Linked DNA regions of Coturnix japonica. The protein of the gene in region 5 purifies or fractionates together with the protein of the main gene of each other region. This does not show direct contact. Links are inferred from orthologs where the notes say so. Each region holds a gene or a part of one and is shown on either strand. Other genes may lie near its edges. The genes, in order: SART3, EFTUD2, PRPF4B, GPHN, PRPF4, MEPCE and SNU13.

Region 1 (4,135 bases), on a different chromosome or scaffold from region 5:
TAAGAAAGGCCTTTCAATAATACCTGTTTTATTCTGCTCCTGCCAAGCAACAAATCTGCAACCTACTACAGGGAACCTCCTTTGGCAGAGGAGCTGGACTAGGTGATACTCAGAGGTCCATTTCAACCCCTGATTCTATGAAATATAAGGAATGTCTCAAAGTGTGCAGTGCTTGTTAATAAACCAGAGCATTATTTTACTGCTGACCAACTGCAGGGACTGTTCCAGGTTTGTTCTGCTGTAATATAGAAACAACCTGCTTGTCACAATGCCAAGCACACGGAGATCAGCCAATGGAAGACATTCCACTATACAAGTGCTTTCTTTATCTATTTTCGATTGCTGTGTAGCACCCAAAGCTTCTTCACAGCTTATTGGAGACTTCCAGAAAAGGCAAATATTGCTTTAAAAGTCAGGAAAGATGAAACTGCATTCTGAGCTTCTATGTGAGTGTAACACCTGGAGAGCACCTCTCTAGACCCCTGTTTCCTTCCCTGATCCCAGCAGTGGGTGTGAATATGTACCTGCTCCCCACTGTGCCCCTTAAGCCAAGCCCTTACCGTCTTCCCTTTCACCCACTCTGTTGCCAAGGAGCTGGAAGCGATGGCAGAACCACAACCGAAGGTTTTGAAGCGAGCATCAACAATGCGGCCGTTCTCATCCACTTCCACCTGTGGGAGTTATCAGAGGGGCGCTCAGTTCCACGTAGGAACCACACACAAAGGGACAGCGATAGGACAGCGAGTTTAAGGCTGGGGGTTTATCGGATTTTAGGGCCTGCAGAGGGACTTTAAGGGACAATGAGTTTAAGGCTGGGGGTCTATTGGATTTTAGGATCTGCAGAGGGGCGTAAAGGGACAGCGAGTTTAAGGCTGGGGGTCTATTGGATTTTAGGGCCTGCAGAGGGGCTTAAAGGGGGTGTGACGGAGGAATCCTATGTCACAGCCATATGGTGGCAGACACTGATGGTTGTGTCCTTACAGGGCACCCCGTGCTCCCCTCACCTGCAGCTTCATAACGTCTCCACAGGCCGGGGCTCCCACCAGGCCCGTACCCACGTTCTTTGCGTTGCGATCGAGAGAGCCCACGTTCCGCGGGTTCTCGTAGTGATCCACCACCTGCGAGAACAACGTGTCACTAACAACCCCCAACGGGCACTATGGGCTCCCCACAGCCCTACCCGGCCCCTCTCACCTTCTTGTGGTAGCCCGCCCCCCCCACCGCCGTCGCCCCCCGCCCGGGCCGCAGCAGCGCCGCCCCCGCCGCCCTCAGCGCCGCCATCTTGAGTCTGCCCGCACCTGGCAGCGGCGCTCTGCCCCAACCCTCCCGAAGGACCCCTGGAGGCCGAGGCCCTGAGGTGTCCGTGGCGCTGCCTCTGCAGCAGACTAAATTATAAGGAGTAACGGGCCGAGCTGCTCGGCTTTTCGTGGCAGTTGGACGCGGAGAAGAGCAGAACCTTGTCGGGAGAGTTTATCGTCCTTTCTTTCACCGCTTTTGGCTGGGGGGAATGTACAATATTGAGACAGGCGCGCAGTAGCCAACCCCATCGGCTGGCTGAGAGCGGCCGGCAGCGAGGCGAGCTGCAACAAGATGGCGGCGGCGGGAGCCGAGGCGGCGGTGGAGGAGGAGAAGCGTGTGGTGGAGGGAGACCCCGAGTCGGGGGGGGATTCGGAGGATGAAGGCGACTCGGATTCATCAGGAGACGGCGAGGATGAGGAGAAGGAGAACGAGGCGGAGATCCAGCGGCTGGAGGAGCAGGTGGGGCCCGGCTGTACCGTGCTTTGGTTATGGAGATCTGGAAACGCCTCCGGGCGTGATGCCTTTTAATTCGCTTTTTATTCCTCGCTTCAGGGCGAGAGAGACTCAGGGAGCAGCCCTGGTATGTTGAAAGTGAACTCAGATGGTGGTTTCCTTAGTGATCTTGAAGGAATTAAAACGCGTTTGCTGAGGAGGGCTCACTGGGTGTTAGCGCTGTGTCTGTACTTGGGGGCTCTCGGGCCTTAGGGCTGTGAGTTCAGTCTTCTGCAGAACTTTAAAGCCCAGCTTTAGTAACAGGGATCTTCTATGAAGGGCTGCAGAGGTGGTCGGGGCCTGCAGCTTCTATTTGAGGAGCCCTGAGGCTGCCCTTGAGGCAGGAGGGAAGGCTGAGGGAGCAGCACTTGTCAGGGTAGAAATCGTGAAGATGGGGCCAGGTTCTTTTCAGCCATGCCCAGCTACACGATAAGGGGCAGTGGGCACAAACTGGAACCCAGGAAGTTCTATCTGAACGTGAGAAATAACTTCTTCGCTGTGAAGTTGACAGAGCCCTGACACAAGCTGCCCAGGGAGGTGGTGGAGTTTCTTTCTTTAGAGATGCTCAGGATCCACTGGGATGCTTTCTAATGCTACCTGCTGGGGGGAGGGTTGGACTGAGGGATCCTCAGAGGACTTTGCCTTTTCCTGTCACTTACAGTTCTGTGATTCTGTGTAACTGAGCAGGGAGGTGAATGTCTGTCTGTACTTGGCCCTGGTGAAGGCAAGGCATCTTAAGTGCTGCGTTTAATTTACTCACTACAGAAGAAAGGCATCAAGGCCCTGGAGCATGTCTGGAGTAGGGCAGCAGAGCTGTAAAGGGTTTGGAGTACGAGCTATATGGGGAGAGGTTGAGGGAGCTGGGGATCACAGAATTGTAGGATGGTTCTCCACTACTCCCTGAAAAGAGGTTGTAGCAGGGTGGGAGTTGCTCTCTTCTCCCATATAACAGCGATGGGACAAGAGGCAAAGGCCTTAAGTTATACCAGGGGAGGTTCTTGTTGAGTATTGGGAATGACTGCTTCTTCAAAAGAGCAGTCAGGAATTGAGACAAGCTGTCCAGGGAGGTGGTGGGATCACCATCCCTGGAGGTGTTCAAGAACTGCAGGGATGTGACACATAGAAAACAGTGTGTAAAGTTCTGTTCTGCTGAGTATTTGCTGACTTCTGCAAGCCTTTAAAAACTTCCTTTATTTTCTTTAAAGCTTTCCATCAATGCTTTTGACTACAATTGCCACTTGGATCTGATAAAGCTGCTCCGCCAAGAGGGAGAGCTGGTGAAGCTCAGAAGAGCTCGGCAGAAGATGAGTGAACTCTTCCCACTTACTGAAGGTACAGAGCTGCTTCTCCTTGCAGCTGGTAATACTGATGAAGCATCATCAGTGTGAAATACTCTTTGTGCCAGGTTTCAGCCATGCTGTTCCAGCCTAAAGGATCAGATTGAAGCTCTGAACTCAACTTGAAGCAGGCCTTTCTTTTTATTTATAGTTAACACTGTAACAATATAAATACCTGGCAGTGGGCTTTTAGCTTTGGCAAGTGAAGGTTTCCTCTTAGGCATGTGGGAACCTGCAGCCTCTAAAGCCATCTGCTGTTTCTTGTAAAAAAGAAGGAAACTGTGCCACTCAATGCCTCTTTGCTGGCCTATGTGCATTCTCTGTGCATGGTGCTGACCAATTGCTGCTCACAGCTTCATCTCTCTTTAAATAGAAGCATACTTGCTTAGGACTAGGTTGGAGACATCAGTACCAAACTTTTCATTTAAACTAATTGTGTGTAGATGCGGGGACTTAAAATTGCTCTTTTTCTCCCCATTTTCTCTATCCCCATTTTTAAGCCTGTTATTAAAAAATAACCAAAAATGTAAAGGGAAAAGTTTTTTTCCAAGCGTTGGTGACTGTAAACTTCTTGGTTTCAGAAATCTGGCTGGACTGGTTGAAGGATGAGATAAAAATGGCTTCTGAGATCTCAGAGCGAGAGAAAGTTTATGAGCTGTTTGAGAGAGCCGTGAAGGATTACATCTGTAAGTTCTTAATGTGTGGGAGTTAAAAAAACATTTAAAGGTCTATTATACTGAATAGTAAAGACAATTTCTATGCCTTTGGATAAGTATTTGAGATGCCTTTGTATTTTCGAGGACATCAGCTCTCCTGTTTCTCATAACTTTGTTTAGGTCCTGAAATTTGGCTGGAATATGCCCAGTATTCAATCGGTGGCATTGGTCAGGAAGGAGGAATTGAGAAAGTTCGCTCAATATTTGAGAGAGCATTGACAGCGGTTGGGCTGCACGTGACAAAAGGAACAGCTCTGTGGGAAGCGTACCGTGAGTTTGAGAATGCCATCC
Region 2 (3,500 bases), on a different chromosome or scaffold from region 5:
TGGGAGGATGACAGAACCATAGAGCAGTGTGGGTTGGAAAGGGTTTTTAAAGATCATTTGTTCGTTCAGAAGCCAAGATCTCCCACCAGATCAGGTTGGTCAAGGTTCCATGCAATTGACTTTGAATGCTTCCAGGGATGGGGCACCTACAACTTCTTTGGGCAGCCCATTCCAGCATTCAGCCACCCTCACAGTACAGAAATTCTTCCTTATATCTAAATTAAATCCACTCTTATTACTGTACCTCAGGCCGCTGACAGCACCGTCCTCCTCCCTGTCTCTGACAGCAATGACTCCCAGTGACTTCTCTCAAAAACCAACACCTTGTCAGAGCTCTCCCTACCTCGCAACTGAGATCCAGAGGCGTCCAACAGTGCAGATCTGGGAATCCTCCTCATCCTCCAGGGTGTAATTCTCTCCCAGGACCTTCACAGGCTGCCCAGCATGGATGGTACCGCTGAGCACTCGGCCAAAGGCATGGAACTGAACGCCGTCGTCTGTGCTGTACATTTTTGTTGTGTGACACATCAGAGGACCCTTCCCATGGAAAAGAAAGAAACCATATTCAATAGACAGCCAGAAAACAGACACAGACCTGGTAGGACCTATGGATACAATTGGATCGAAGAGATGGAACATAAAAATACTTCTTGTGACTTGCTAATATAGCATTATTTTTATCAGCCTCATGCAGGAGGTTGGAGAGTGAATAAAACTTCATGGAAAAGAGACAAAAGGCAGCAAAAGGACACAGAATCACCCTGCAGCGCCCACATGCTCCAGAGTCCTGACCCAGACTCTTGTTCTGAACACTGTCAAACAGTTCTATCTCCCAAGGGCTGCCCTGACAGGCACTAAAGTTTCTCAGAGTGAAGAGATTTGTTTCAGTATCGGATGAGAGGTTTCAGAGTGCTGGAAGTCAAATCAGTGCAGATGGCTGTCCAGGAGGCAGCTGCTCTGTCAAGGCAGTGAAAGGGGGGTGTATTTGCCACATTTTGGATGCTCAGAACAAAATAAAAGAGCTTCCTTACGTCAGGGTCACATTCACTCATGGCCTCCCCAAGATCGGAGTCAACGCCACCAGTGTAGGTGTGTTCGATTTTTGTCTTGGCTCCCAACTTTGGGGAGGGAATATGCTGCACACACATGTCCACAAAGCCTGAAAAAGTAATACATCGTGATCAAGCAGGGTAGAAGAAAAATAAAATGTACCCCAATAAACATAACTTAAACCCAACTGCAGAGCACCCACAGTAAGGGGAAGATGTGAGCAGCATCTCAAGCTGTTCTTTGAGGAAACAGTTTGTATTTTATACACGGAAAAACAAAGCTGAGAAAGGAATCTGTGCAAGCTGACACTCTGTGTTTGCATTACAGCCCTTAGACTCCGTCCACATGAGGGTAAGCCATTGGGAACATTGTGGCTGGGAAGGATTTACCTGTGAACTCCCCAAAGAACTTCTTGCAGACAAGTCGTAGGAGCGGTCGAATGTTCAGTTTCAATTCCTCTTTGGTCAGGTGGATGCCAAGTTCATCCAGAGTGCGAGGCAGGGTCGTGTCCACATCCCCCACCACCTGCAGGATGACAGGCACCACTGTTGGCTCTGCTGCAGGTGCCCAAGTCCCAGGCTCCTGGGTGCAGCTGAAGGCCCCGAATGTATTGCCAGGTATTGCTCTCAGCCTTGCTCACACAACTGAGCTCACACAAAACAGGCTGGGCAGCTCATTTTATCACTTGGCTGCTATCATAGCACATTACAAAGAGCAAAAGCAGTTCTAACTGCACAGACATAGGGCCATATCTGCAAGGAATAGCTGTAAGGAGAAGTCCATCACCTCTATGCATGCTCAAACCCAGAAATGTGTGAAGAGTCCCGCAGGCATCACACACCACCACCACCTAGTGACCACTCAGTCCTTGCAAGCTCATGGTCTGGAGCTGCAAGAATAACAAACCACCATGTACCTGAGCCAAGATCTTGTACAGGGGCTCAAGAATGAACTCCACAAAGCTGCGCTGGGAGCTGCTGGTTGGGGCCTTCTTAGTGAACTTCCGCCTGTTGGTAGACAAAAAGAGAGCAGTGAGCAGCAAGCACACAAGCAACTGGCATCAACCTGCACACAGCCACTGCTCTTCTTGAGTTATCTACCCCTCCCAACCTCCCTGGGAAGCACTCAGGGATAATGAAGCCACTCTTACTCCAAACAAGGGTCAGAAGAGCTCTTTGCTCCCATTCATGATTCAGGAGAACATGGAATCATATCAAGCAGGAGGACTGACCCAACCTTTCCTCCCACCACAGGATCACAGGGCAGCTCAGGCTGGAAGGGACCTCAAACGGTCATCCAGTCCAGTTTACAGAGGAGGGAGAGGAAAAAATAAACAGGAACAAAGTAACAGACACCTCAACAGGCCTCTTACGTTTTTGGGTTGAAGTAGATGTCACCCCAAAGCCGCTTTGCAAACTCCTGATAATTGATATCACCTGAAAGGAAGAAGCAAGAATAAGAGACACAGTATTTCTCTCATTTTGGAGATCTTTTTGCCCTTTAAAGTGACCCTGAGGTTTTGGTGCAATGCTGGTGAGTGAACACTTGGTCCCCATTCAGTGTAACTGACTAAACCCTGAACTGGGGCAGCTGGGCAGAGAAGTGGCCAGAAAACAGCCCTGTGAGGACTATTGCAGCAGCAGCCCCCAGGAGCACTGTGTGTTTGCACATCTCCCTCTCAGGAACAATTCAGCTGTCCTGATCACACACGAGGTTACAGCTGAGAGGAGTCAGACTCAGCTCTGCAGGAACCCAGTTACATCTGCTTCATTTTTCCAACCAGTAACACCATGACCTGACTGCGCGGTGCCAAGGTGCTGGGATGGCTGACACCCTGACGGCTCAGCGCAGCATTTTCTGCCTTGCTGAACACCTCCAGGTTCTTGTTTGAGCTGAGCTGATGCATTAAGTGCATTTCCAAGTGCTGAAGGAACGGTGCTTGGCTGTCATGGTGGATTTACAAATAAAAAGACAGCGGTTGTAATTTACAGTGGTTTCCAAACAAGCTTTTGCTGTGGGCAGATGTGCAGACATAAGAAATTTCAGGGTGGCTGCAGTTCTGACAGTTAAACCACCATAACTCACGGTACTGGAAGAGTGGTGGCTGCAATCAAAATCCCTGGTGACCACCGCCGGATGTTACTGACTTAAGTACCATTCAGCTCATGGATGATGACACCTCCCACCGACTGCACTGAATGCTTTATCAGCCTCCAAAAGCAGGGGGGTACCATCTTGCGTTCACTCTGCGATGCCCAGGGAGCTCATTTATTTCTCCAAACTGATGAAGGTGCACAATAGCCCTGAAATATCAGTCTTTGACCTCTACAACTTCGTCCTCCCTCAGGCCAACTTCTTTGCGAGAGCTGATCTACAACATTCCTACAGATCACCCCAAATCCCCCAACGTGGAACTTCAGAACTTGGCTGGATCGCTGACTAATGCAAGC
Region 3 (3,500 bases), on a different chromosome or scaffold from region 5:
TTAATGTATATTTTTGTGCAGTCACTTGTGAGGATCATACAAAGTATGTACCTTTCCTTCCTGCTGTGTGACTTGCTTGAAAGCTGTTATACTTAATTTTTCAAGGAGGTGCTATTTTGGTTTTTGAGTGCTTTGACGAACTTGACCACCTCACTTTATGTGTATAATGTAAATCAGCTCTAACTTTTCTTGCGAATACTTTAGTTTGCCACCATGTTGATTTTGAGATTGCACTGTATCAATATCAAATCACAGTTTACATTGCTAACTGTTGTGCACTTGCCATCTTCATCGCCTGGAATAATGTGAGTTTCCTTTCAAGGTTCAGCTCAGAAGAAACTGCTAGCTCCGGATATGTTCACAGAATCAGATGATATGTTTGCTGCGTACTTTGATGTAGGTAATCCTTAGAGATGAAATGCGCGATTCTTTTCTTTCTTGCTTTTTTATTGAAGGGATGCTGTCACTTGAGGTTTGTGGGAACACTGAGCTGTAAAAGCAAAGTAACTGAGTTGATAATTCTGATATTTTGATCAGTTGAAGCAGACAAAGTAGCTTCTAATATTTCGGTGAAAGAAAACCTGCAGTTGGTAGGGTTTGGGCCAAACTAAACAACAAATTAGGTATTTCACCTGCTGTTCAAATGAGAGCTGCGTGGCACACACAGTAACAAACTTCATACTAACATTTTATGTTAAAGCTGCCACATTTTACTGTTCTTTCAGAGATGCGTACTTTCCTCAGAGGTTCACATAATGTTAATTACAAAGCCTGTGTAATGTATTTTAATTTGCTCATGACATGCTGTAGTGATGTGGAGGCTTCTTTTTGGATGAAGAGATGCATTTCCCATTTCTACTTATTGCACTGTTTCAGCAGCTTTTCTCTAAACATGCTGAAGCAGCTTGCAAGTCTTAGCAGTCCCTTAAATACTTGTTGCTAGTGATACACAGTCACTGAGAAATAAAGTCAAAGCAGCAAATTCCTTTTAAGATGGAAATTCTCCAGTTAATCTTGCTTTATGGCAGATGAAATCTATTAGTTCTCAAAAAAGACTGTTGACAGAAGGTGTCACTGTAATAAAACCGACACACACACGGGCACACCGAAGGAGAAAGATAAATACTGCAGGAATAGTGGTCGTTTAGGTGCTCTTAAAAACTTTGGGATAACGAGTAGGGATTTAAACGGTTTGTAAGGAATCAGTTTCTGCTCTAAAAAAATTGTTGTTCAGTCAAAGATGTGTTTTACTACTCATGAATTGGAATTTGCAACAATATTGTCAGCTCAGTTAAGCAATGTCAGCAGTGACTGCAATGCTTCTGTGATTCTAAGTGTAACAGTATGGATTTTGTGAGCTGGCATTGAATGAACAGAAAGAAATTTGAGGCTTCAACAGTTACATTTATCCCCCAGATTGCTAAACTTTTATTACTACAAATATACTGTAAATAGTAAGACTAATTAATATAGTCCAAACTGTGTGTTCTAATTTGACTTGTATAAATTCATTGCAGGTAATGGTTGAAACATGTCTCATTTCTCATACTTAATAATAGTTCTGTTGCTTGTCTCTATTCCATTCCCTTGCAGTGGTTTTCAAGCGATGGTATTTAAGTAGCATTCAGTGTTCAGTAGTTTTTTTTCTCCTACAAGATAAATGTGTTTGTAGTGTGGAGAAGAGCATTGATTCAGTAGGAAAAAAGTGCCTCGTAATATGAACTTCTGATTTTTATAAATAAACGTTAAAGAAAATATACAGCTAGAGCACACAAGCAAAGCTGTTCCATTTGTTCTTTTTGCTACAGAGTGCTCGTCTAAGAGCTGCTGGGTTTGGAAAAGACTTCAAAGAAAACCCCAATCTCAGGGATAACTGGACTGATGCAGAAGGCTATTATCGTAAGTTTCATTTATTGGTTCGTGACTGTAGCAAGGAGGAGGATGCTAAATGGAAAAGAACCTCATGTCAAAGTACTGAAATGCTCTAACGTGAATATTCTGCTGTGAGTGCCATGCTGAATATGGTGTGCCCAAAGCAGTTTTCTCTTCTTGCATATTGTGCAGCATCAGGTTGCCCCTAGATATAAAACTATGGTTAGGGTAAAACTCAAACCTGCCCATAGTTAGAGCTGTCACATCATCCTCACAAAGGAAGGAAGGAATGAAGGAATGCTTGCCAGGATCTGAAACCAAGAAATTCAGCATCCAAGAGAATACGGGTGGCACTTGTGGTAGTCATTATCTAGGATTCAGAATGGAGATAGTGAGTGAGCAAGCATGTTTTACTTACTAGTCAGTGTTAAAGGCTCATTTGCAGGTGTAAGGGCCAAAATAAATTTACCTGCAATGGATGAAATGAGCATGCAGGTTTTAAACTCAAGAAGGGGAGGATTCCAGACTTGGAGTTGCTGATGTTGCCCATAATTTCCACAAAGACTGGTGCTAGTATGCTATGAAATTAAGTGATCATACTGTTGACATTATTTAGAACCATTTATTTTTCATAAAATGTTTCATTGTGCATACGACATGTAACTCTTACTTGAATTGCTTGATTTTTATCCTTCAGGTGTTAATATAGGTGAAGTTCTAGATAAACGTTACAATGTCTATGGTTACACTGGTCAGGGAGTCTTCAGTAATGTAGTACGAGCCAGGGATATGGCAAGAGCAAACCAAGAAGTAGCGGTTAAAATCATCAGGAACAACGAACTTATGTAAGTAATGTTTTTGTTTCATAATACTATGATAAAGAATGTGAGACTTTTGGAAGTTTTTTATGATGTGATTTGAATCTTCCTTTGTTTCAAGTGAAGTAACAGATTACAGCTGTGGTTCCTGCCTTTTCTGCTAATAGGAGCCATATAATTGGAAGCGCTTGAGGACTATGTATCCGCACTCACAGGAGAAGGGTACTTGCATTTTCATCAGGCACTTTCTCATTTGCAAAACTGCAGGGAACAGTGGTGGCAAGGAATAAGCTTGACATTGATTATGTTGTCTGCCCAGCCCTGAGATTTTTGAGATGGGAATCAAGGACTGTAAAATTCTGGTTGGATGAACCAAATCCATTTGGGAAGCTGTGGGTTGGTTACTAGTCAGTCATATCTAACTTAGACAAAGACGTTTCAGTGTTTCAGTGAATTATTTTTGCATATTCTCCGTATGTGCGCATGTGTAGAGGATACGAGAAAGTGATGATACTCTACCTATTGGAAAGAAAATCACTGGAGGTCTTTTAGACTGAGTGATCCTTAACTAGGGTGATGTTGTATTAAACTGTGTTAAGTTACGTGAGGATTCAGAATCTCTAATATTCATTTTCAGCATCTGCTGCCATATACCTACAGTCATGTGTTATGTACTTATCCATTACTGATAACTTAGATGGAAATATTTTCCATGCGTTTTACACCAGAAGTCTTAAAGGTTGTTTTGGTTTGTGTGCAACTGAGTTATTTTGAGCTATACGAATAGTACCTAGAAATATTTAGGGGAAA
Region 4 (3,500 bases), on a different chromosome or scaffold from region 5:
ATAAAGTTGATGACTCATCAGAAACACAGGCTTTACAGCAATTTTTTATCTCAGCAGCCAAATAATTCCAATTGACAGAAAAGCACATGATATTTATCCTGTTGAGTTTTGTATCTTAAGCAGAATGTTCTCTGTAGCATGTTCTTTAAAAGACAGATAGCACTGATATCTATTTGTTAGAATAAGAAAAAGTAACACTGTTAGAATAGGTGGCAGGCAGTGTAATTTTAACTACTGTTAGTGCAAAAGCCTCTGGGAAGTGCATCTTACCGGTTCTTCTGCACTGCCTGCCGCATGATGGCAATAACTGATGAGACCAGGAATGGGCTGTTCACCTTTTGCCATAATAACTGCTGAACTGGTGTAGGATGGATGTTTCTAATGCACAACACATAACAGCTATGAATACAGTGACAGGAAAATATGAGACCAAACAAGCAAATGACTGAAAGACAATGAGGTGAAAACAAGTGTGAAGCTGAAATGTCAAGCTCACATGAACACAGCCTGTTTAGATGTCAGATAATTTCTGTCTTTAAAATTGCATACATTATTTTTCTTTGTCTATATTAAAATAAATCAATGAATTTTAAAAAATGCATTAATAAAAACTCAGAGTTGCATCTGATAACTTCCTTAATTCAGCCTTTTAAAGACATACACAACCAGGATTTTCCATAAAACGATGATCTCCAGCTGTAGCTGTCTTAGACCTGAATTCACACGTCTGGAGTTTGAATGTTGCTGCTTTGCTTTAGAAGTTCTTTATAAGCATTTTGAGTTATGTGCACATTCAGTTCCCATAGTTGGAATTAAAAGTACAGCAAGTAAATACAGAGCTCATTTATTTGTAATAAATGAGTGTCATTCTTTTTCCTTTTGTAGTCTCCAATTCATAATTTTGGTCTGAGTAACGCTGAAGTAACAATCACCTATAATTCGTAGTTACACAGAGGCTCTAAAGACAACATGATGACACTTAATTTAGTGACAGAATTTCACATTTCTCATGCAGTAGATTGGATAGCTTATGACCTAACCTGCTACGTAGCTGTCATACTTTTTATGTTTTTAAAAACCAAGCGTCATTACAAAATGGAAAATATAAGTTAGTGAATCTTGCTGTGACTCCTTAGTATGTCACTAGTTGGACTGTGCACATCCAGGAGCCTGAGTATTTCTGATCGTTTCTTTTAAACCTAACACTAAACATGCTCTGTCAAGTCAGAATATAATATCAGAATATAATTAAAATGTAACCTGCAATCTAAATAATAAACAATGCATCTTCCAATGAAATCGGTGATCATTTACTGAAACAACATTCATATACTCTTAGGATGCTAAATTTCTATGAAATGTATCCAAAATATATCTGTTTGAGCACATCAACATTGACGTATAGACTTGACATGCAAATGAATATTGGTGGAAAGTACCTGTGCGAAGCTAAAGAGTGTCTTGGAAACAAGCCAGACTCACCTTAGCTGCAATGGCTGCTGCAGTTATATGTGAAGAGGAACTGTCCTCTGTTGATGCAACTCCACTATCCTTCTTCTCTTCCTCCTCTTCCTCACACTGTACTCCTTTGTCCTCTGTCTGCTTGTGAGGGCTGGTGGTTGGAGGAGGAGAAAGAGGAGGTGGTGGTGAAGGTAGATCTTCTAGCTCATCGTGTACCTCCTTTACTTTTACAATGGCATCTCGCAAGAGATCGATGGCATGAGGTAGGGCTGGCAGTATAAATTGAAAGCATTCCTATGCACAAGAAGAGAAATGACTATGAATAGTTACTCGCAGAAGCAAATAAAGATTTTTCAGATTTGCTCTTAGGAGATATTGGGGATTTTGATGCATCTTTTCACCTGATCGTAAATGAAAATCAAAATGCCCATTACCAATGCTCTTAGAAAAACAAACAAACCAAATCCCCAACAACCAACCAGCTAAAAAACCCACCAGAATCTGAACTGAGGATTCAAATATTTTAGTCCTTTTCATGCAAACATAGTAAGCAGTACAACAGTCAAGAATTAATGCAATTAATCTAAAACTGGATTAAAATGTAGGAAAACAAGAGTTAAAATTTTAATGAATGCATAAAGCAGAAGCACATTTATGGCAGTTGGCAGTATTATTACAGAAAGGCAGAATAAAAACATTAACTCTATCTCTGCAAGGTTATTAGCTTCAAATAACTTCTGTTACACTCATTCACAATTTGAGAATGTTTCATAATAATTGCCATAATTGTACTTTTAAATAACGTTATTGTTTATTTTTTAATTCATGAACTTATCCTTTGGGCCTCGCAGGCAGTACTGATGTCATTATAATTTTATGTAACTAAAATAAATTTACCTTTGGTAATCTATTTTTCAAACCTCTCCTTGCTCCGTGATTTAAAAGCCATCAAAAAGTTTATTTTGTACAGTCGGAGAAAAAACACAGATGCCATGTAACCATTCTAGCTCTGCAACAGGTGTACATATTTCTAGCTACCTTTAGTTATTTCACCAAATAAAAGAATCATTCGTGTTGCAAGGAACCTCAGGAAGTCATTAAAATACTGAATTCAGACAGGTTGCTTTGGGTTTGTTCAGCCTAGTCTTGAAAAAATCCAAGAACCGAAGCTCCCCAAATTTTGTGGACAACCTGTTCTAATGAGTAATTATCCTCATAGTGATTTTTTCTTTATCTTTTTATCCAGTTGGAAGCTCCCCTTCTTCAATTTATGACTCATCCTCTTCCCAGGCACCTTAGAGTAAGGGGTTTTCATGTCTCGTCTGCTCACTACATAGACATATTGAATTACTGGAAAATGATGGCAAGGTCACAATAATGAATTGCCAAGGCAGTACAGTTAGAGTTGACAAGGTAGCTGATGTTATTCCTTTCATCGCTTTTCATCTTTTGTTTCATTTCAACCATAAAGAAGACTTCTCAAAATTGTAATACTGGAATTTAAAGAGTGCAAAAACTAAATAATGATAAATATTTTTAAGCAGATACAGTAACAAGTATTTTCAATAAATAAAAATGACTATGTTAACAAACCGTCCATCAGAGAATAGCAGAATTTATATGACCCAGTTTGTAAGTCAGAATCATGACTCACAAACACTATTTCCTCAAAACCTCTAAATAAGAATCCATCTTTCAATCATACCTCTGGGGGTAATGAAAAGTCAGACTACTACTCAGGTATTTAAATTCTATAAACATTTGATTTGTTACTCTAAACAACTCAAGTAAGCAGATGAGCAAGAACTGCTGCATATAATGAATATATATGAAAAATCTATTTTTAAATATAATAAAGAAATATAATTTCTGTTGCAACTGTAAAGCTCACAGTTACTGACCTTCCAAAGTACTATTTTAAAAGTGGTTTAAAACACTGAGGTATACAACCACCCTTACTTCAGTGAAAAAGCAGATCTCAAGCAAGCAGTAAGCAAGGAGATCTGACTACAAATAATGAAAACATACATTAATTATTA
Region 5 (4,128 bases):
TACACAGGATATCAGTGAAAGTCATTCTTTACCTCGTAAGGTGTGAACAAGGTTACAGTCAGGCACAGACCACAGCTTGCACAGTCCACTCCTGTTGAACACAAGAAACAGAAGTCAGTGTAGACAGGAACATCAAACAGCTTATCAAACAAACTACACCAAGGGCTTCTGCAGTGGGAAAGTGGCAGTCTGACAAAACAGCATCTGACATGGAAACACACATGGAGCAAAAGGTGTGTCACTGAATTCCTCCTTGAGGACAAAATGGCACCTGCTGACATTCATCGACATTCCTGAATGTTTATAGAGACGAAACACTCAGTGCGGACCAGGCAAGCCAAAAGACTGGACACCATGCCCTAAAGTAAATGCTTTGAAGAGAACTTACCAACAGGCAGTAGCCAAGAGTTTGGAATTGGGACTGAAGTGGCAGTAGGACAGCGGGCGATCGTCCCCAATCTGACTACAGAAGTTATTCAAGGACTGCAACAAAATACAGAGAAAACAATGAATAAATACAAATGACTTAGGGACAGTCCTGGCCAGTGACTGAAGCAGAAGTCAGAGACCACAGGGAAATCACTTCCAAAGAGAGATGTTACCTCAGAGCTACTCTAGCCCCAAGCAGGAGGATTATGGAGTTTATCTGACTAAGAGAAACTAGCACAGCTCCATGGCTCAGCTTAGCACTCAGTATGCCACCCACCATACTTGCCACCAATCATACTGATGCCCTGCTTTGCAACTCAAGCTTTGACTGAAAAGAAGCAATCTGTTTAGCTTCAAAGGTAAGAGGCAAATCAACACAGGGATGTGTCTCTGCATCCCTCTGCAGTGCTAGAATACAACAAAAGCAGATTTCTCTGTACAACTGCAGAAACAGAGCTAGAACACGAGTACCACTAGAAGAGAGAGAAAATGCAAAGCTCTTCAAGGCGCAGCACAGCAAATTACACACATCTGGACAGCCCCTCCAGGCAGCTCGATCCTTCTGATCTCTTTGAAATTCAAGAAAAAACGTTCACAAGCAGCAGTTGAACAGATGGCAAACCTACTCGTAGGGATTTGTGCAGTTCTTGTCTCTGCGATGTCCTGGTTGCCTCTGGAATCTCTTTGAGCAGCCGGGCTTCTTCCAGACGCTTCGCTGCCCTGTGAAGAACAAAGATCAAGTACCAGATGTTCACATTTCCCATGCCTTGCTGCTAGAAACCCTCACTTCCCCATTACTGGGCTAACAGATTTGTCTACCGGAACATGTTCTTCATTCTTTTGATCTCAAATTTACTACACTACCCACAATGTGGTTAGTAGTTAAGAGTTTACAAAATGTTGCACTTCTCCCCTTCATTGATGTTAGTTTTCCTTACCTGGGAAGCGAGTAGTTAGCAAGCCACAGCCTTGCTGTTTTCAGACTCCGTGGTCCTTCATGGTACCAAGTCTGTTGATACTGTAAGGAAAAGAACAAAGCCAAAAAAAAGCTTAATGCTGCCGATTTAAACAGTGCATTGACAGTTCTGCTAAAATGGGCAACAAAGAAAAAGAAAGGGATGATTTTAGAATTTGCACCCTGACCACAACCAGGTCTTGAATGTCTCAGAGACCACCAAAATAAGGTATTCAAAGATGACTGTATAAATCTCCTCCGGCACTGAGAAATCATTACCTCTTCTTTAGACTTTTTCGACCTGTCGTCATCTTTCCTTGTCTTTTTTAATGCATCTGTGCCGACCACTGAGAGGATATTTCTTAACCTGAAAGGAAACACGTTAGGTTACGTTCACTTGGTGGACAAACACTCATTGTGTTCCATTCTTTCTTGTTATGTTGTAACCAAACACAGACCGGCAGCACTCGCTGCACGCCAACTACAAGGAAAACAGTGGGAATATGATAAAGTGGGGGAAGCTGAGCGTTCCCTCTTTGCAACACACAAGGGCAGACACAGCACCTCTCCCTCCTCTCTGCGGGACCTTCTCCAAAGAGCGTGATGGGCTCCCCGAGGGCTCGCAGACAGGCCTTCACTTCAGAGTCATCCGTGGAGACGTTGATTTGCCGGGCTCGCTTCCTGCGCTCAAACTCAGCCAAGACTTCGGCCTGTCGCTCACTCATGTGATCCTCCAGATCAAAGACCTCACCTGCACCAAAGCAAAACCATCAGCCTGGACACAGGAGCTGGACAGGAGATCCTCCTCCAACAGGAAGATCCCAACAGAGAGCTGGCAACCCAGGGAAAAGCCTCCCCTTATCAAACCTAATGTATGCTCAGATATTATTGGAGTGACTTTCGATTACACTAAATAAAGGCCACCCCATGCTGCTGTGCTCTCACCGCTGCTGATGTTGATGTTCCCGGCCTCCAGGGCCGCCTTCATTCCCTCCTTCCCCAGCAGCCCGGGCTCCCCCTTGGCCAGCCGCTCCCGCTCCTTCTCCTCCAGGCTGCCATAGAAGATGGGCGCCCTCTTGGCGGGGGGAGCATCGCCATCCTCGGACGGTTTGTTCTTCGTGGGCTGCAAAGGAAAGACAGAACCGATAGGAATCCGTGTGTGCTGAGTGCAGAGCTGACCTCATAACGGACACGGCACGGAAACCACAGGATCTTGTGATAACACCCCAAAGCCGCAGCGCTACCGGTCACAGCCCGACCCGTCACAGCCCTCCCAGCTCCGTTCCTTCCCATCTCCTCCCGTACCTCAGGCGGTGCGGGGCCCCTCACAGCCGCAGGCCGCGCCCCGCCTCGAGCCACCGGTGCCCGCACGGCCGCCATCACTGCGCTGCCCGACGGCCTAACGGAGCACTTCCGGTGACGGACAGGAAGCGGCGGGTCACACCGGGTAAACCGGAAGGGGCGGGCGGTGCGTGACAGAGCGGAAGGGGCCGGGAGGCGGCGGAAGCGATGCTGCGACGGAAACCAACGAGGTTGGAGCTGAAACTGGACGATATCGAGGAGTTCGAGGGAGTCCGGAAGGACCTGGAGGTGCGCGGGGACGGAAGGGGAAGGACCGGCAGGGGTCGGGGGTTGTCCCGGGCACCGGGGCCCTGACTCGGCCCCCCCGCCCCGCAGAGCCGCAAGAAGCAGCGGGACGAGGCGGACGTGGCGGGCGGCGAGGAGGCGGCGGGCATCGCGCTGGGAGCCGAGCACAAGAGCCGGGAGCAGCTCATCAACGACCGCATCGGGTACAAACCGCAGCACAAGGCCGGGGTCCGAGCCGCGCACTTCGGCACGTTCGAGTTCTGACGGTGCCGCTGCTCCCGGTACCGAACGGAGCCACACGAGGCTGTTTTAATAAATGGGCTTTTTTACAAACCGACACCAGCTCCTGGGTCTCCTTTGGTTGCACGGGGAAGTAAAAGCCTTCACTCAGCACAGCTGCAGCATTGACGGTTGTTTTTAAAGCACACAGCCACAGTAAAATGCATCTGCTTTATTAGTTAATTATATACAGGAGATCTTTGATACGTTACTAGATAAGTTACCTTCACAAAGAGCAAGAGGAAAATCAAAAGTGACAGTCTGCTGTAAACAAAACTATCCGTCCTTTTGGGTCTGCTGGGGCTGCAGACCAACTGAGAAGGCACTGGGGGAAATAACAGAAGCTCAGGGATGAACACAGCCTGGATACACTGTGCTTCCTACAGACATGTAAAGACAAAGTATCAGGGTGCACTCACAGACACAGCGATCACATTCTAAGCATGCTACATATGCTGACACGTGAACTTCATTTACTCAAGTCTAATAATCTAATATTAGAGTCCTCACCTCCCTCTAAGCACCACTCAACACAAGTTTAGTGTTAACACTGGGACAGCTTGAAATACAGCCAGCATAAAGGCCAGGATGGCATCCAACATCCAACGCACTAAGTGCAAGTCGGTATCACAGTGGGCAGGTTTTGCTCAGACTGGGGAAGCAAACAGCATCAGGTGGGCAGGAGGGAGGCTGGGGCACAGGGAGGCTCCTCAGGACTGTCAACAGTTACTAACCCTCAAAAGAGATGATTTCAAGGGAGGATGCACATACAGTGATGCAGAAAAGCAAGCAGGACTGAACTTATGTTATAAAAGCCGCAGCTACTGCATAGTTCCAACTTATCCTTCTCTGATTGGAACAGTCAGAATTCAAGTCTG
Region 6 (4,095 bases), on a different chromosome or scaffold from region 5:
GATTGACCCCCCAGCACCCCCGATCCCCCCCCACTGCACCCCATTCCCTCCCCTATAGCCCCCTATTGCCCCCCAGTCCCTCCCAGTGTCCTCAATCCCCATTCCAATCCCTCCCAGTATCCCTTTTAGTGCCCATCCTGGTACCCCCCATTCCCTCCCATTCATTCCCCCCCCTCACACAGAGCATGCGCCTGAAGCTGATCGCCAGTAACAGCACCATGGAGCGGCGCTTCAGCCCCTGGATCGGGGGCTCCATTTTGGCCTCCCTTGTGAGTTGGGGGCGATACAAACAACGTGGGGGGGGGGCAGCGATTTGTGCCCCCCCATCTCCCCCCCCCCGACCCCTCCCCATGTTCCCAGGGCACGTTCCAGCAGATGTGGATCTCCAAGCAGGAATACGAGGAGGGGGGCAAGCAGTGCGTGGAGCGGAAATGCCCCTGAGCCCATTAACCCTCGTTAACACGGAGCGAAAGAATGAGGAGAAAATAAACGGAACCGGAGCAAAAAGAGCCGATAAATGGAACCCCCCCCCCCAGGCCTGGAGCTGGGCGCAGGCCTCGATAGGCCGCACTGCTGTGAATGGGGGCTCAGCGCCTTCACAGCGGCACAGGGAGGGGCCTGGAGCCGCCTGGGCGGTTGGGGCCGGGGTTGTGGCCGCTGTTATTTCGGTGACATCTTTTTTTTTTACCAAAATCGCCCGTTTTTCCCTCAAAACGCGGCCTCGCGCCTCCGCTTTCCCTCCCGCCGCGGGAGCGCGCTCAGTGCGCACGCGCTTCCCCCTCAGCGCTCCGCGCCACATGTGCGCATGCACGACGCACAGAGGGCGCCCCACTGCGCATGCGCGGCGCGCCGAGGCTGTGCGCATGCGTCACGTGCGCGCGCCGACGGGTGACGCGTGCGCCGTGTGCACCCGGCGTCTGCGCACGCGCATTGGCGAAAGGCAGCCGCTCTGCCGCCCGTGCGTCCCGCGCTGCGCCGTCACCGTCCGGGATAACGGGGAGCAGCGTCGGCCGCGGCCAGGAACGGCCGGGAGCCCAGCTGCCGCTGTAGCTTTTCGTTCAGGCACCGCCGTGGACAGCCCAGAACCGCAAGGCCCCCGCGAGGCCCCCGACGCGCTGTGCAGCCATTGGTCGCTACCCCCCTCTTCCGCGCGCCACTTCCTCCCATTGGCCGCCGCCCACTCCGCCTCCTACCGATTGGCGCAGCCCTCCGTCCGCGCGCCACACGCCATTGGCCGTCTATCGGTTGGGGGGCGGGGCCCGTCGTGGCCCCGCCCCTCGGCTATATAAGGAGGCGCAGGGTGCGACTCGCCTGCCATCGCGGGAGGGAGGTGGCGCGCGCCGCACCGTCCGGCTCCGGCTCGTTGGACTCGGCGGTGGGCGGAGCGGCCGGGCCATGATCGAGATGGCGGCTGAACCCGACGCGTTCCGGGCCCCTCCGCCGCCTTTAAGGACCGGAGAACCACCGGGGGGGGGCGGGCCTGCACCGGGCGGCACCGACACCACCGGGCCCCAGCGGCGGAGGGGACGGGAGGAAACGGACGGAGCGGGGGAGGCCCCGAGACCCAGGAACGGCTTCAGAGCGACCGGAGGAGGCGGCGGGGGGGGCGGAGGGGGGGGAAAACGGCGGAGCAGCTGCACCGGATCCAAACAACCGCCGTGGAAACGGCGCCGGAGAGCGACGTCGGAATGTGACCCCGCGCTGCCGTCCGAGTTCCTGCTGGGGGGGAACATCTTCGACCCGCTGAACCTCAACAGTCTCCTGGACGAGGAGGTGAGCCGCACGCTGAACGCACGCACCCCGCAGTCATCACCGCTACCGGCACGAGGACGGGACCCCGTGGAGATCCTCATCCCGCGGGACATCACCGACCCGCTCAGCCTCAACGCGCCCGGGGGGGATGACGGGCTCCGTCTGGCATCACCTGCCAAAGCAACGCGACGTCGGCATCGCCACCGGGGTCAGCAACGGGGGAACAGCACCAACAGCACCAACAATAGTATGGAGCCAGAGAGCAGCACGGAGCACGGGAACACGGCCAGCAGCAGCACCAACACGGCTGGAAACAGCAGCACAACGTGCTCCAACAGCCGGCACCGTAAGAGGAGAAGGACTTGTAGTAAATCAGAGGCCGCCCGATCTACGGCGTCACCGGAGAAAGGGAAAGGGGGAAACAACGGCCCTAAAACCCCCACGACGGCCCCACGGCGCCGCAAGAGCCAGAAGTTCCAATATGGGAATTACTGTAAATATTACGGCTATCGCAACCCGGATTGCGAGGACGGGAGGTTGAAAGCCATGAAGGCCGAGTGGTTCACCGGGAAGGAGGTGCTGGATGTGGGGTGTAACGTGGGGCACGTCACGCTCAGCATCGCCAAGAGGTGGGGGCCCAGCAGAGTGGTGGGGCTGGACATTGACGGGGCCTTGATCCGCTCGGCCCGGCAGAACATCAGGCATTATCTGTCCGAAGAAATGGCCGCCGTGGAGGGAGGGGGGAGGAAGGGGTTCCCTGCGGCGCTGCTGGCCAGCAGGGGACCCATCGCTGCCCCACGGCTGCCCCCCGACGGGCCCGGAGCCTCCGACTTCCCCCATAACGTCGTGTTTGTCACGGTGAGGGGGCGGGGCTAAAGGGAGGGGGCGGGGCTAAAGGGAGGGGGCGTGGTTTGGGGGTGGAGCCAATCGGAGAGGCGGGGCTAATGGGCAGGGGCGGGGTTTGGGGCGGAGCCAATTAGAGAGGCGGGGCTAAAGGGAGGGGGCGTGGTTTGGAGGCGGGGCTAAACGGAGGGAGCCTGGTTTGGGGCGGGGCTAAAGGGAGGGGGCGTGGTTTGGGGCGGAGCCAATTAGAGAGGCGGGGCTAAAGGGGGGCATGGTTTAGAGGCGGGGCTAAGGGGAAAGGGCGTGGTTTGGGGCGGGGCTAACGGAAGGGGTGTGGTTGGGGGCGTGGTTAAGGAAAGGGGGCGGGGTGTTGGGTTGGGGCGGGGCTAAAGGAAGGAAGCGTGGTTAAAAGAGTGACATAGAGTGAATGGGCGGGGCTAAGTTTGGGGGCGGGGCTAAAGGCACAGCAGGTTTAAGGGGCGTGGTTAAGGGCGGGGCTAAAGGGGGCGTGGTTGGGGGGTGGGGCTTTACAAGGGGTTTGATTTTAATATGGGGTGTGGCTAAATGAAAGGGGTGGGGCTAAAGGAGGGGGTGTGGTTTGGGTTGGGGTCAATAAATGGGAAGGTGACACAGTTGGGGTGGGGGTAAATAGGGGGTGTGGCTAAAGGGGTGGTGCCGATGGAAGGGGGTGGTGCTTTGAAGGGGCTGTGATTAGGATGTACATGAAGGGGTGGGGCCACTCCCCCTTTTCTAAGTTCAATCCCCATCGTTTTTGAAGATCTCCTTTAATCTGTTATTTAACCCCCCCTACCCAGTCTCTTCCCCATTGCCATGAGACCCCTCCTAACCTCTCTCCCACCCATCCACCCCATAGGGCAACTACGTCCCCGAACGAGAGGAGGCGGTGTGGGCCCAGCGCCCCGAATTCGACGTCCTGCTGGTTCTGTCCCTGACCAAATGGGTGCAGCTCAACTGGGGGGACGAGGGGCTCAAAAGGTTGTTCCGTCGGGCCTACAGACACCTCCGGCCTGGGGGGCTGCTGCTGCTGGAGCCACAGCCATGGGCTTCCTACCGCAAGAGGAAGGGGCTGACGGTGAGATGAATGGGGTTATGGGGCACCAATGGGGGACTGGGGGGGATATGGGGGTTGGGGGTGCGGGATGGGGGTCTGCTCTTGTCTGTGGGATGGGTCCAGCTGTGAGCCTTTGGTTGTGGGACCCCTATAACCCTCCCCAAAGTCCCCAGCTGGACTGTGGGAACCTCCCTCAGAGCCTTCAGCTCTTTAAGATCTTCCCACCCATATCCTCCCAACCCCCTCATTGGAGCCCTATAACCCTCCCCCCAAATCCCCTTAACTCACCAAGACAACCCCCCCCAATCCTCCACTGCAGCCCCATAATCCCCCAAACCCCGCTCCAAAAGCCCCAGATCCCTCTCCTAATTCCTTCCAACACCCCATTGCCCCCACAGAACCCCTTATAACCTCCCCTCAGCTCATAG
Region 7 (4,238 bases), on a different chromosome or scaffold from region 5:
GTATAGGGTTGCATGCAGACAGTGCTCAATAAAAATCTGTGTGACCAAGAGAACGCAACCTGCACAACATTCTAACAAAGCTGTTTTCAATGTGCAAAGCACAGTTTGTGCTGGGAAACCAGCTGGGAAACACAGCTTGAATTATTCAGTGTTGTGGCAAGGGAAGGGGCTTGTAAGTCACCTCGCGCAAAGCACGTATCTGTGATGTGCAAATGAGGCTGTGGACTTCAAGAAACCCAGTATAATTGCTCTTTGAAAGCATTTGCATTCATAACCTCCACCTTTTTCTTCCTGCCTGACTGTTCCCTCATTTACACCATTATTTCTCTTCTGACAGGATTTTAGAGATTTCAAAGACCTTACCCACAGCGCTGCTGTGCAGAGACAGTGAGAGATTACTGAGATCGGAAGGACCACTATTGGAAAGGCACTTTCTAACATCTCTTTGCTCTGCTAGGAGGCTGACCCACCAGGAAGAAACAGGTGTCACAGTCCTATGGCTAGAAGGATTTCAGCTAATATAAAGTGACAGTGGGAGAAAGAAATACCGTACTATTTGATAGTAAATCCTGTAGCGCCCTTTTTAAGTTCACACTTCCATTTCTGTGTGGATCTTAGTATAGATGAGAAAGCACTGAGGCATGAGACCAGAACAGAGGGTGTTCTGGGAAGAGCCATAAGCCAGAGCGCTCAGTTCTCCATGAAGGTTAAAGATCTGTGAAGATGCTCAGGAAAGCTGTGGGAGCTTTATTAACATGCCAGTTCTGCTCCTTGGGGGAGAGGGAAATTAATTACCCTATTCTAGTTGGAATGAGAGGCCCTTTTCTGTGGGGAATAGCAAGATGTAATGGAGAACATTGGCAGGAGCATGGAATTGGGTATTCCAGTGGTCTACTGCCATTTTGTTGGGGGAGCTGAATGTGGAGAAGCCTGGGTCAGGGAAATCCCAGATTCTTCGAGGTCCCTTCCAACCCAACCCTACAAAAAGGGAATTCCTTGGTGCTGTTAGGCCGTGTGGGAGCTCTTACCGAAGAGCGTTCCTATCAGACAGAGGCAGCCCCTCTCGTCTGGAGCCAGCAGCTGGACGACCGGCAGCGCCTGCCAGGCCAGGGCATCGCGCAGCCGGGACAGCGCGTGTTTCTTCCGCACCAGCTGCGGGTGGGAGACAACCGTCAGCATCCAGGCCTGCCCGAACGGCACTAAAAGCGTTACCCCGCGTTCCGTGCCCCTGCCTCAAGGCAGCAGCGGGCTGCGGGGTACCGAGGCCTACAAGGAAGGGGAAGCCGCACCGAGGCGCCGCCATCGCCCAGCGTCTCCACAGCGCAGGCGAGGCACAGCGGCGGTCGGAGCGGCAGGTTCCACCTCGCACCGTGCCGATCACGCACGCTCTCGCAGCCCGCCGCCATCGCCTCACGGCCGCTAGGGCGCGCCATGGGCAGGCTCCCGGCGAGGCACGGCCCGCCTCTTCCCTCCGCCGTTCCCTCAGTTCCGGCGGCGTGCGGCCCGCTGCGCGCACGAGCGTTGGGCCCCGAGTGTCCGAGAGCTGCACCGCGCCGCCGCCATGGTGAGCGGGGTCGGGGGGGAGGCGGGATGCGCCGGGCAGGGTCCGCTCCCCTGCACACCGAGGCGGCGGGCGGGCAGCGGGGAGCACGTGGGGGCCGCGCTGCGTGGGGCTGTGCCGAAGGGCGTCCGTGGGTGGGTTGTGGGCTGGTACACGTGATACACGCATTCATAGGTGCATGAGGGGAGGTTGTGGCGAGGTGGGGGCAGCCTCTTCTCCCCGGTAGGAGCTGTAGGATGAGAGGTGATGGCCTCAAGTTGCGCCAAGGGACGTTCAGGTTGGATATCAGGAAGCGTTTCTCAGTAGGAGCGGTGCTGCGGTGGCACGGGCTGCACAAGGAGGTGGTGCAGTCACCATCCCTGGAGGTGTTCCAGAGCCGTGTGGATGTGGCACTGAGGGATGTGGTCAGTGGGCATGGTGGGGGTGGGCTAAAGGTTGGACTGGGTGATGCTGGTGCTCTTTTTCAACCTTAGTGATTCAGTAATGGACTACACGTGGTAGACATGCTGCCTCTCTAATGCCCCTCGGAACAAACTCTTTTGCCCCTGCTGTACCACTCTCCCATCTTTCCCTTTCTCCGGTTTCTAGAGTGAGGCAGAGGTGAACCCCAAAGCTTACCCACTGGCTGACGCGCAGCTCACCAAGACGCTGCTGGACCTTGTGCAGCAGTCCTGCAACTACAAGCAGCTACGCAAAGGAGCCAATGAAGGTGGGAATACTGTGTGAAGCTGTGGCTGGAGATTGTATTTTCTTCTCCAGCTGTGGCCATGAATATTATATAGCTCGGTCTGGCACGAGTGACCCTTTCCTTCCTCCTCTTAGATGCTCAAAGTGTGTTCCTGGTGCATATACTGTGATCATATATGATGCGGCACTGAGATGACCAGGTGTCTTGCCAGCTTAAAATCATAAGATAACTGGGAGTTGAGGGGAGCTCTGTAGTTCAGACAGCTCAGAGAATGTCCCTTCACAGCGTGACTGAGCTGCTCAAGGCCATATCTGGTTAAGCTTCATCTGAACAAAATAAAAGTCCTTAAGCGTGGAAACTCCACAGTCTCCTATGGCTTAAACTGCTCTTCTGCCAGGATTTTTTTTCTCCTCATATCTCCAGAGTTTCCCCAAGGCAGCAGTCAGAGTCTGCAGTCACAGTCCTTTAAGCTGTGCGTTCATGGGGATAACCTGGCTCCATCCTCGCTGCAGTCTCCTTGGAGTGGCAGAAGGCAGCAGTCACTCTCCTCCATCCCACCTTGGCTGGTTCTTCTCCAGTCTGCACAGATCCAGCTCCCTTGGTCTCTCATCTGCAGAGTGCCCCAGCTGCTCTCCCTGTGCTGGCCTCACTCCTTTGTGAAGGATGCAGTAGCTCAGATGTGACCCTATGAATAATCCCTCCCTGGGACCTGCTATGGGTTTTCCAAGGGTCAACTTCCTTCTTCTCATGGGTGCACTGCTGACCACAAACTGTTCATTCTGGACTTGGAGCTGTGCTATTACATGGCCCTGTAGCTGATGGTTTTCTTTGGCCTGCCCTCTTGCTGCCCCTTCTTGCTCGTGCTGACATCAGCATCTCCTAGTGTTGTTCACAAGATGTGCTTCACAGAACCTAGACTTACTTTCAGTTTCTTTTTGCAGCCACCAAAACACTGAACCGAGGAATAGCAGAGTTCATAGTGATGGCTGCCGATGCTGAACCCTTGGAGATCATCCTGCACCTACCTCTTCTCTGCGAGGACAAGAATGTTCCTTATGTGTTCGTGCGCTCCAAGCAGGCCCTAGGCCGGGCGTGTGGGGTTTCCCGGCCTGTCATCGCCTGCTCCATCACTATCAAGGAGGGATCGCAGCTAAAACCTCAGATCCAGTCTGTACAGCAAGCTATAGAGAGACTGTTGGTCTGAGCGCCCTTGAGCTTGAGTGTGTGTGGAATGGGTAAAGGTGAAGTCAGGGGGAATTAATGTCTAGCTTTAGTTAATGACGTTATAGTTTTGATATCAGTGTTCCATTTCAAAAATCACATCTTTGTTTAATAGCGGCTTAATTCTTCAAGTGTCTCTGCCTCTTCTCCCCTCCCTTTCTCTATTATTCCACTCCAACTCTCATTCTCGTTGTATTACTTCTTGAAAAGTGATTGTACAACTGTATTTACTGTTTGACGTTCAAAGGAAAAAAAAATCCCCTCCAATCTCCATATCTGCCTGCTCAGGGCTTTTGTAATCTACCCATTAGCTTCCTAATGCTTCAGCCTCTTACAGGTGTATCTTTGTTTCAGAATGGTTTATTCTATGGGGGAGTAAGGTGTGTTGGTTCCGCAGCACAGTACGTGTATTTGGGCTGCCAGAGTTGTTGCTTTGAAGCGAAGCAGCATAGACTAAAGTGTAGGACTGTGGCTACTGTGTAGCAAGCAGCTGGTGGAGCCAGGATCAGTACACATAGCACAACCCTGCCTTCAGATCAGGCAAGAGGCTTCTCTAAGAGGGTGTATGGGGAGCTGACATCGTACGGCAGTGCACAAGGGGAAATCTCTAATTTCACTTATTTTTAAATGCTGTTTTTTTAAAAAGAAAATAAAATTACTGACAAATCTAAATACAGGAACGGCCAGAATTGTTATTCTCAGTTTTCTTTGCATGGATTGCAACAGTGATCTGCAAAGCTTGGGCTTCCTAAGACATTTCAATACAAA

The links.
Region 1: the proteins of PRPF4 (region 5) and SART3 purify together in Homo sapiens (affinity purification with mass spectrometry; 5 studies listed by BioGRID and IntAct, counting the BioPlex papers as one, with this or other methods). This does not show direct contact. The link is inferred for Coturnix japonica from reciprocal best matches to the Homo sapiens genes PRPF4 and SART3.
Region 2: the proteins of PRPF4 (region 5) and EFTUD2 purify together in Homo sapiens (affinity purification with mass spectrometry; 4 studies listed by BioGRID and IntAct, with this or other methods). This does not show direct contact. The link is inferred for Coturnix japonica from reciprocal best matches to the Homo sapiens genes PRPF4 and EFTUD2.
Region 3: the proteins of PRPF4 (region 5) and PRPF4B purify together in Homo sapiens (affinity purification with mass spectrometry; 3 studies listed by BioGRID and IntAct, with this or other methods). This does not show direct contact. The link is inferred for Coturnix japonica from reciprocal best matches to the Homo sapiens genes PRPF4 and PRP4K.
Region 4: the proteins of PRPF4 (region 5) and GPHN purify together in Homo sapiens (affinity purification with mass spectrometry; 3 studies listed by BioGRID and IntAct, counting the BioPlex papers as one, with this or other methods). This does not show direct contact. The link is inferred for Coturnix japonica from reciprocal best matches to the Homo sapiens genes PRPF4 and GPHN.
Region 6: the proteins of PRPF4 (region 5) and MEPCE purify together in Homo sapiens (affinity purification with mass spectrometry; 4 studies listed by BioGRID and IntAct, with this or other methods). This does not show direct contact. The link is inferred for Coturnix japonica from reciprocal best matches to the Homo sapiens genes PRPF4 and MEPCE.
Region 7: the proteins of PRPF4 (region 5) and SNU13 purify together in Homo sapiens (affinity purification with mass spectrometry; 4 studies listed by BioGRID and IntAct, counting the BioPlex papers as one, with this or other methods). This does not show direct contact. The link is inferred for Coturnix japonica from reciprocal best matches to the Homo sapiens genes PRPF4 and SNU13.

Annotation. Positions count from the first base shown.
Region 1 is NC_029530.1:5,666,967-5,671,101, reverse strand, and holds the start of SART3 (squamous cell carcinoma antigen recognized by T-cells 3), read left to right. Parts: upstream 1-1,335; 5' UTR 1,336-1,590; coding exon 1,591-1,758; intron 1,759-2,996; coding exon 2,997-3,123; intron 3,124-3,709; coding exon 3,710-3,814; intron 3,815-3,964; coding exon 3,965-4,135. Other genes in the region: ISCU (iron-sulfur cluster assembly enzyme ISCU, mitochondrial), read right to left, coding at 561-671, 1,005-1,118, 1,195-1,281. UniProt on the Homo sapiens protein: U6 snRNP-binding protein that functions as a recycling factor of the splicing machinery. Promotes the initial reassembly of U4 and U6 snRNPs following their ejection from the spliceosome during its maturation.
Region 2 is NC_029542.1:768,950-772,449, forward strand, and holds part of EFTUD2 (116 kDa U5 small nuclear ribonucleoprotein component), read right to left. Parts: intron 2,487-3,500; coding exon 2,423-2,486; intron 2,058-2,422; coding exon 1,967-2,057; intron 1,576-1,966; coding exon 1,440-1,575; intron 1,160-1,439; coding exon 1,032-1,159; intron 538-1,031; coding exon 344-537; intron 1-343. UniProt on the Homo sapiens protein: Required for pre-mRNA splicing as component of the spliceosome, including pre-catalytic, catalytic and post-catalytic spliceosomal complexes. Component of the U5 snRNP and the U4/U6-U5 tri-snRNP complex, a building block of the spliceosome.
Region 3 is NC_029517.1:63,515,824-63,519,323, forward strand, and holds part of PRPF4B (serine/threonine-protein kinase PRP4 homolog), read left to right. Parts: intron 1-322; coding exon 323-396; intron 397-1,808; coding exon 1,809-1,899; intron 1,900-2,569; coding exon 2,570-2,717; intron 2,718-3,500. UniProt on the Homo sapiens protein: Serine/threonine kinase involved in spliceosomal assembly as well as mitosis and signaling regulation. Connects chromatin mediated regulation of transcription and pre-mRNA splicing.
Region 4 is NC_029520.1:27,356,529-27,360,028, reverse strand, and holds part of GPHN (gephyrin), read right to left. Parts: intron 1,756-3,500; coding exon 1,483-1,755; intron 379-1,482; coding exon 271-378; intron 1-270. UniProt on the Homo sapiens protein: Microtubule-associated protein involved in membrane protein-cytoskeleton interactions. It is thought to anchor the inhibitory glycine receptor (GLYR) to subsynaptic microtubules.
Region 5 is NC_029532.1:813,639-817,766, forward strand, and holds the start of PRPF4 (U4/U6 small nuclear ribonucleoprotein Prp4), read right to left. Parts: upstream 2,801-4,128; 5' UTR 2,765-2,800; coding exon 2,690-2,764; intron 2,508-2,689; coding exon 2,330-2,507; intron 2,136-2,329; coding exon 1,949-2,135; intron 1,752-1,948; coding exon 1,664-1,751; intron 1,448-1,663; coding exon 1,368-1,447; intron 1,150-1,367; coding exon 1,056-1,149; intron 484-1,055; coding exon 389-483; intron 92-388; coding exon 33-91; intron 1-32. Other genes in the region: anaphase-promoting complex subunit CDC26, read left to right, coding at 2,894-2,974, 3,062-3,235. UniProt on the Homo sapiens protein: Plays a role in pre-mRNA splicing as component of the U4/U6-U5 tri-snRNP complex that is involved in spliceosome assembly, and as component of the precatalytic spliceosome (spliceosome B complex).
Region 6 is NW_015439878.1:132,682-136,776, forward strand, and holds the start of MEPCE (7SK snRNA methylphosphate capping enzyme), read left to right. Parts: upstream 1-1,295; 5' UTR 1,296-1,395; coding exon 1,396-2,610; intron 2,611-3,469; coding exon 3,470-3,688; intron 3,689-4,095. Other genes in the region: ACTL6B (actin-like protein 6B), read left to right, coding at 183-269, 361-441. UniProt on the Homo sapiens protein: S-adenosyl-L-methionine-dependent methyltransferase that adds a methylphosphate cap at the 5'-end of 7SK snRNA (7SK RNA), leading to stabilize it.
Region 7 is NC_029516.1:45,199,715-45,203,952, forward strand, and holds SNU13 (NHP2-like protein 1), read left to right. Parts: upstream 1-1,438; 5' UTR 1,439-1,561; coding exon 1,562-1,564; intron 1,565-2,149; coding exon 2,150-2,270; intron 2,271-3,190; coding exon 3,191-3,453; 3' UTR 3,454-4,142; downstream 4,143-4,238. Other genes in the region: MEI1 (meiosis inhibitor protein 1), read right to left, coding at 1,029-1,152, 1,290-1,433.